Drosophila melanogaster: one gene and its partner. The protein of the gene in region 2 interacts with the protein of the main gene of each other region in a pairwise test. Each region holds a gene or a part of one and is shown on either strand. Other genes may lie near its edges.

The links. The genes of interacting proteins can lie anywhere in the genome.
Region 1: the proteins of Trax (region 2) and CG4045 interact in a two-hybrid assay, tested with the Drosophila melanogaster proteins (one large-scale study listed by BioGRID).

Annotation. Positions count from the first base shown.
Region 1 is NC_004354.4:2,074,283-2,077,865, forward strand, and holds CG4045 (uncharacterized protein), read right to left. Parts: upstream 1,619-3,583; 5' UTR 1,539-1,618; coding exon 1,387-1,538; intron 1,337-1,386; coding exon 925-1,336; intron 858-924; coding exon 756-857; intron 690-755; coding exon 585-689; 3' UTR 515-584; downstream 1-514. Other genes in the region: Rtca (RNA 3'-terminal phosphate cyclase), read left to right, coding at 1-514; CG4025 (uncharacterized protein), read left to right, coding at 2,801-2,865, 2,936-3,057, 3,170-3,557.
Region 2 is NT_033777.3:15,359,692-15,363,446, forward strand, and holds Trax (translin associated factor X), read left to right. Parts: upstream 1-2,000; 5' UTR 2,001-2,133; coding exon 2,134-2,846; intron 2,847-2,896; coding exon 2,897-3,080; 3' UTR 3,081-3,159; downstream 3,160-3,755. Other genes in the region: Cog2 (component of oligomeric golgi complex 2), read right to left, coding at 1-616, 671-1,741, 1,794-1,886; CG6171 (uncharacterized protein), read right to left, coding at 3,195-3,406, 3,461-3,624, 3,686-3,755.

The sequences.
Region 1 (3,583 bases), on a different chromosome or scaffold from region 2:
ATCGGTCAGCGGAGTGGCCTACTGCGCCGGCCGCTTGCCGGTAAATATTGCTATTGACATGCAACAGACGGCTCAACGCGAGATACATCGTTTGTGGCCGTCCCAGCAGTGCAGCATCGAGCCGATTAAGCATTCACGCCAGAAGGCATTCCACAACGGAGCCGGCATCCTGATGACTGTCAACACGACCTCCGACGTTGTCCTAGGTGCTTCTGCATTGGGCAAAAAGAGGATCGACGGACACGTTCTCGGCTCAGAGGCGTCGTGCCAACTGGGCGACTACATGCGCAAACAGGTCTGCGTTGATGATTACATGCAGGACCAGCTCATCATCTACATGGCCCTGGCCGTGGGCCGCTCAACGATGCGCACAGGCAAGCTGACCAATCACACGCGCACCGCCATCAATGTAGCCGAGCAAATGACAGGGGTCAAGTTCGATGTGGCGATGGAGCCCGGCGGCCAGATGCTAGTCAGCTGCAAGGGCTTGGGACATGTGAACAAGTTGATTTAACAATCGATAGATCTCTTTACTCTAAGGAAACCTTAAATTAATGTCTACATATATAGAGAATATACGTGTCCTAAAGGCGCCGGAAAATGGCCAGAAAATGATCGCCCTTGTTTCGAACCACCTTAGCGCCCTCCTCGCTGCTTTGGTACAGCTTCGGGGTGATGGGATCAGCATTCTGTGGGTTTAAACGTAATGATTAATGTGTGACTTGGCTGCGTGATCTCGGTTTTGAACTACGTACGGCCTCCTCTTCGGTAAGACGCTCGTACAGCGGATGCTCCTCCATATGTGTCACTATCCACTTGTGCAAGTCCTCAACGTCCGTCATGGTGTACAACAGACCCTGGGTAAGCAGACTAAGCAGTAAGCAGACCGCATTTCGAGTACTTTCAGGAAACTGTTGGACTTACCCCCTTCCTGAGGATATAGGCATATTCGGAGAGTAGAGCCTGGTTGATAATACGCCACTTGTGCTTGGCGCGCTTGAAATGTGGGTCCGGGTAGAGGAAGAACATCTTCTCCAGCTGGCCCTTTACGAAGTAGTTGGGCAGATACTTCATGGCGTTGGTGCGTAAGCAGGCAATGTTCTGGTATGCACCCGTATCCGCGCATCGTCGACGCAGTGCCGCAATCCGGTCCACCACGTAGTCCGACACCTTGACGCGGATTTCCATGCCGATGGACAGCTTCTCGGGGAACATCTCCCCCAGGGTGACGAGAAAGCCGCCATAGCCGCAGCCTATGTCCGCAAAACTTACCTGCTGGCCCTGCTGAATGCCTGGGTACATGGAGCGCCAGTCCACATCTTCCGGGCGAGCAGGACTATGTGAAGGAGCCTTTAGTGTGTGCAGTCCATTTCGTGGTCTACTCACTAGTCGAAGCTGTGGTCCGCAATGGGATTCGAGTGCGCACGCTGGCGGTAGTAGCGCTTTTGTGGCAACCCCGTCACCGCCGACGTGGGGTTTAGCACATCCGGCTCCTGGTTCTGGCCCTGATCCTGAGCCTGTCCACCGGTGGCCACCATTACTAGAAATTAGCAGAAGCGAGTGATATCAGGCACCGACGAGGAGAAGCAGCAGCACGTTGCGAACGCTTTTGAAAACTACATAAATATACTAAAATATACCGAGGCATACGTTCGCTTGCGTTGGGGGCATTCAAACGATATTTTCGTTTAAAATCAGAAAACTTTAAAAATACTTATATTTTGATAAGTAAATATTCATTTATTGGCTAAGAATTACACAATTAGAAAAAGTAATGTTTCGCAAAGCTAATCACATATAAAAACAATTTCCATCACTTGATTTCCAATTTTGTGAAAGGGTTATCATGATTTGTTGCAAAAAATTTAAATGATTAAAGTTTTATTACGAGGTAAACGAGGTATTTGGACCACTGTAATGCACCATTTTCGACGCAATAAAATGCAAAGTTTCCCTGGTTTCGACACCAGGGGATCAGAAATCATAGCAGGTGCCAGCTGGTTTCCGCAAGAACATGAAAATAACTGTTTTGTTTTCCAGTAATTTTTCGACCAATGGGAAATAGCTATGTGGAAGGCAACCGTAAATTAACTTTGAGAAAGCTACAGTAAAATGTGACAAAATCCATGAAACCAAATGGTCCTTGGTCACCTCCTGAAAATTATGTTCGACTAGTGTCTGAACCCAGAGAAAGTTGCTATTTTGTACTAAGTCTTGTTTCAGCCCGCGGACGAGATCTTTATTTTCTTGTATCGTTTTTGGTTTCCGACACCAGGCAAACAGAAATCATAGCAGTTGTCAGTTGGCAGCACAGATTAAAACCAAAACATCTGATATAATTCATGATGGCTGCTGTCTATGCATTTCCAGTCAATATTCGACCAATAGAAAATCAAGAGGGGAAGTTAACCGTTAATTTGCAACTAAGCACATACACACTAGAGCCAATCACGACAGGCCTGAAATAACTGTAAATTTCGTAGTACTTTGAGCTTGAGAAGTAATCAGCTGATCGATGCACGCCCTATTCTTTTTTCTGTTCGCCTAGTGTCGTAGATTCAAAGGTTACCCCAAAAAAGGTAAAATCAAATTTTTGCGCCATGGAGCAATCCAAAAATCCGCCAAACAAAAATACTAAACTTCGGCTAAGCGGCTATAATTTAGCCGATTGAGCAGCACTGCCACAGACCCAAACATTTCGCTCCCTTGTTCGTGTTATTGCAGCGCAATTAAATAAGATACGTTAGTTGTGGCCAGTGCTGCAACTTACCACCACCCGGATACACCATTCCCTAGCGCGATGTCACAGGTTTACTTGCTGCCGGTGCTCACGTTCCTGATATTCCAGGTCACCTTTCTTGGCACGTAAGTACGCAGGGGGTGCTTCCCCGATTACCGGGCTTTCTGACCCGACTGACGTCTCATTGGTCTCCAGGTACATCTTCGCCGTGCTGGAGGGGCATGTGGTGCCCACGGTTCCCTACATCAGCGATGCGGCCACCTACTCGCCGGAAAGCTGTGTGTTCGGGCAGCTTATCAACATAGGCAGCGTTCTGCGTGAGTTCCTCTCCCGGCATCCCGTCTCGTCTCCAGAGACGATGAGTCATCTGTTGATTAGACGCTCTTGCAGCGGTGTGATTATACTTTCTAAGTGTCTCATGCTTTGCAGTTGGAATTACCATCTACGTACGCTACCGTCAGGTGCTGCAGCTTTATGAACACCATCCGGATTTGGACGGGTCGGTGCTGCGCCAGAACCGACTAGCCTTGTGGTTCGGACTGGTGTCCTGCCTGGGCATTAGCTTCGTGGGCAACTTTCAGGAGACGAACGTGCGGATTGTCCACTTCATCGGAGCCTTCTGCTGCTTCGGCTGCGGCACCTTGTACTTTTGGATGCAGGCGCTCATCTCGTATCTGATCTTCCCCATGTCGGGTACCCGCATTAACGCTCACTTGCGGCTGGGCATGTCCGTTGTCTGCACGATCCTGTTCATCCTGCTGGCGGTCACCGGCGTGATGTCGCACATCCTCTTCAAAGGACAGAATCCTCGAAAGTGGTGAGTCTGCAGACTGTCTTTTCTAT
Region 2 (3,755 bases):
TCTGCTGGGCAAATGCCTTCAGCGGTCGCAGCATTTGCTCCACATAGCTCGAACATCGTGTGGGAACCTCTCGATTCGTCTTGCGATACAGCCGCGGCAAGTCGTTTACCTGTCGCACATTTTCCGTCTCGCATTCTCCGATCAGCAACTCCACTAAGGTCTTTTGTATGTTGGTCAAATGCGCACCTAGCGTGTCGGCTAGGCAGGACATCGATTTGGCCAAAACGTCGCTAAAGATCTTCGTACACTGTTCAACGGGCACTGATTTAATAATCAATTGCTGAAGCTCTGGCAGATGCGCGTCAAGTTTGCGAATGTCAGCATGGAGGGCAATAAGCAACTGGTTTCGAGTGTAGGGCTTAGAAAAGTTGCTGCCTTTCGATTGAGTAATTGCATCCGTGATCCAGCGCGAAAGACGCAGTACCACCTGCACATTAAGTTTGTAAAATTTCGGAAATACTTCGGGTAGGTAAACTCCCTCGGCCCAGCACCGTGTCATAGCCTCCTTCGCGGCATTAAATGCGGATATTTTGTAGTCACTATCGGTGAGATTATCTTTTAAACTATCCTCCTGGAGCACCGGCTCCAACTGGGCTTCAAATTTACCAGCAATTTCCTAGAAGCATTTCACATTAATCGAAAATTCTACTATATAAACTTATTTACATACTTGAAAGCATATTTGGAAGTAAACCGGAAGATTCCAGCGAGCCTCAAAACTTTTTGTTTGCTTGTGCTGGCGATAGAACGTTACGGCCTGCTCTCCGGAGCAGGTCAATAGCTCCTCTATTTTGCCCAGGAAATCGCGAGTGCACTTGTATTTTACATAGAACACCTCCGAATTGCCAGGCGCAAATATGGAATTCATGTGCAGTTCGAGACGCGTCTCCACATCAGACCAGTAACTATTAACCACGAAGTTAAAGCCCGGAAACTTATCAGAGTAAAGCGTAAGGCGCAGCAAATCGGTCATATGCAGCGATATAAAGTTGAGGATCTTGCTGTAGATGCCAGCTAATCCCTGCGGCGAGTTTTGCAACTGTTGTTCGCCAATGACGCCCGTCATATACGGTGCCACCACATCCTCGCGGAAGGCGCACTCTGCCTGATCACAGGCATTTAGAGTTATGTAGATCCGCAAGCAGCGCTCTAAGGATTCCGGTGCCGAGTTGCGTGCCTGGCTAAGGGCGTCATTGAAGAAGCGTCGCAGATGCTGATGCAATTGCTCTTCTAGCTGTTGGATCTTCCCTTGATGGTCGGGACTTAAGTGCTTGAAACAGTGTTTCTCATGGAACTTCAATTGAATCAGGTCCAGAGCAGCGCGCTCCAGGTCAACGGCCTTAATTGGTTGTTCCCCGCTGAGCTTTCGGTCGATTAGATCCTGAAGCTTGTTAATGGTCTCATACACTTTCTTGAGGCTCTGCAGACCGCGTTTGAACTCGCGAAGCTGACGCTTTTCCTCCAACTGGGCCCGCAGCTCGGTCACGTTCTCATCTATCAAGCCGTGAATGCTCTCGATGTCGCTGCGGAATTGCTCCAATGGCTGTTGAATGGTCTTTATATTCTGGTCCAGTCCCACCAGGTTTGCGCTCAAGTTTACGAAGTCTGCGTAATCCTCGTTGATCAAATCTATCATGGCCGCCCGCAGACCTTTGAGGTAAAGGCCCAGGTTGTCGCGTAGCTGCTCCAGACTGGGCGCATTGCGGTTCTTGTGCAGAAACTCATCCACCGAGAAGTTTGCCTGTTCGAAGTAATTTTAGCAAGGGAACACATATCTGACATGGATTACTGACCTTCATAAACTCATTCTTGTCGAAGCACAGCTTCTCCGCTGTGCTGGTGGAGCCAGCGGTCAAGTGAGCCGACTTTTTGACCGGATCATGCATTGCCTTAGGGCTGGAATTTAATTATTTGTATATTTTTAACAAATTCTTGCCACGAAAGTTTCTCGGGTCTTAGCACCGATATCAGGTGGCGATATTTGTCGGCAACTATCGATATGGTTAATACCTCAATTATCGGACATTTGTTTACAATAAATTTTTTGCCGACGCGATTGAAAATCTAAAAAAATAAAAACAAAAAAAAAAACATATTTAAGCCGTTCAAATAGAATCGCGTAAGATATCAATAATGCCGAAAAACGGAGGTGCTGGTCACAGGAACACTGCTCCCAGGAAGCGCCAAATACCGGCTGCCCAGCTGGATGAAGACAGTCCCATTGTCCAACAATTTCGAATTTATTCTAATGAATTGATCATGAAACACGATCGCCACGAGCGAATTGTCAAGCTGAGCCGTGACATTACCATCGAGTCCAAGCGTATCATCTTCCTGCTGCACTCCATTGACTCGCGTAAGCAGAATAAGGAGAAGGTCCTGGAGGAGGCACGTCAGCGACTGAACAAGCTGATCGCGGTTAACTTTAGGGCTGTGGCCCTGGAACTGCGCGACCAGGATGTCTACCAGTTCCGCAGCTCCTACTCTCCAGGATTGCAGGAGTTTATCGAGGCCTACACCTACATGGAGTACCTGTGCCACGAGGATGCTGAGGGCGAGAACGAAACCAAGAGCGTTTCAGATTGGCAGGCCATTCAGGCGGTGATGCAGTACGTCGAGGAGAGCAGCCAGCCAAAGGAAGAACCAACTGAAGGCGAAGATGTTCAGGCTATAGCTCAGGTTGAGAGCCCAAAGAAGTTCCAGTTTTTCGTAGACCCCACGGAATATATACTTGGACTTTCGGATCTTACTGGTGAACTGATGCGCCGCTGCATAAATTCGCTAGGCAGTGGAGATACAGACACCTGTTTGGACACCTGCAAGGCCCTGCAGCATTTCTACAGCGGGTTGGTTAGTTCTCCCTTAAGAAACTCAATTAACTTCCTATTGTTTTCAGTTACATCAGTCTAAACTGTCAGAGAGCCCGTGAACTATGGCGTAAGATCACTACCATGAAGCAGAGCGTTCTTAAGGCCGAGAATGTTTGCTACAATGTAAAAGTTCGCGGCGGAGAGGCTGCAAAATGGGGCGCCACTTTTGATCAAAAGCCAGCCGATGAAGTTGACGAGGGCTTCTACTAATGGAACTCCATAGACATAAGTTTTCATCAACAGAATATAATATATATATATAAAGCCTATTATTCGGCAAATGGAACGTATCATCTAAGTTAACAGCGAATTTGAATTTATAGTCTAATCATAGTCATCCCCACTTATTGGTTGGCTATCAAACTCCAGCTCATCATCCTCATCTTCGTTTATGTCTGCGCCTGGACGGTAGTCCGCATCCCTGTCATTGTCGCCACCAAAGGGTTCATCCTCCTCATCCGTCCCCGAGTCATCGTCGTTCTGCCGTTGGGCTCGCCGTTGACGCAGACGATTTCGAATGTTCTGCGCGGAATTGACTACAATGGGCTTTAGCCAATTTGAAGCCGAAGTATGCCAAGCCTTCTACTTACAATCCGCAGGATGGGAGTAATCCTGGAAGTGAACTGGGTTACGGCGATAGCATGCGTTACCGAAAGGACAAGCTGGAGTTCCGAGGGGTGGCGCTGGAAAGTTTGGTCGCCGGTAATCCTGATCCCCCGGATGAGCTTCTGCACTACGATGAGCTGGATTTCGCCTGTCATTGGAAAAAGGTATATTTTTAGTTGGTAATATGGGAGTTGGTTAGTGTGAATCACCTGTAGCATCGTATGCCGAAGCGACAAGAAGTCCTAATACTGCTTGAAGATACGGTAGACTCGTCGGCGG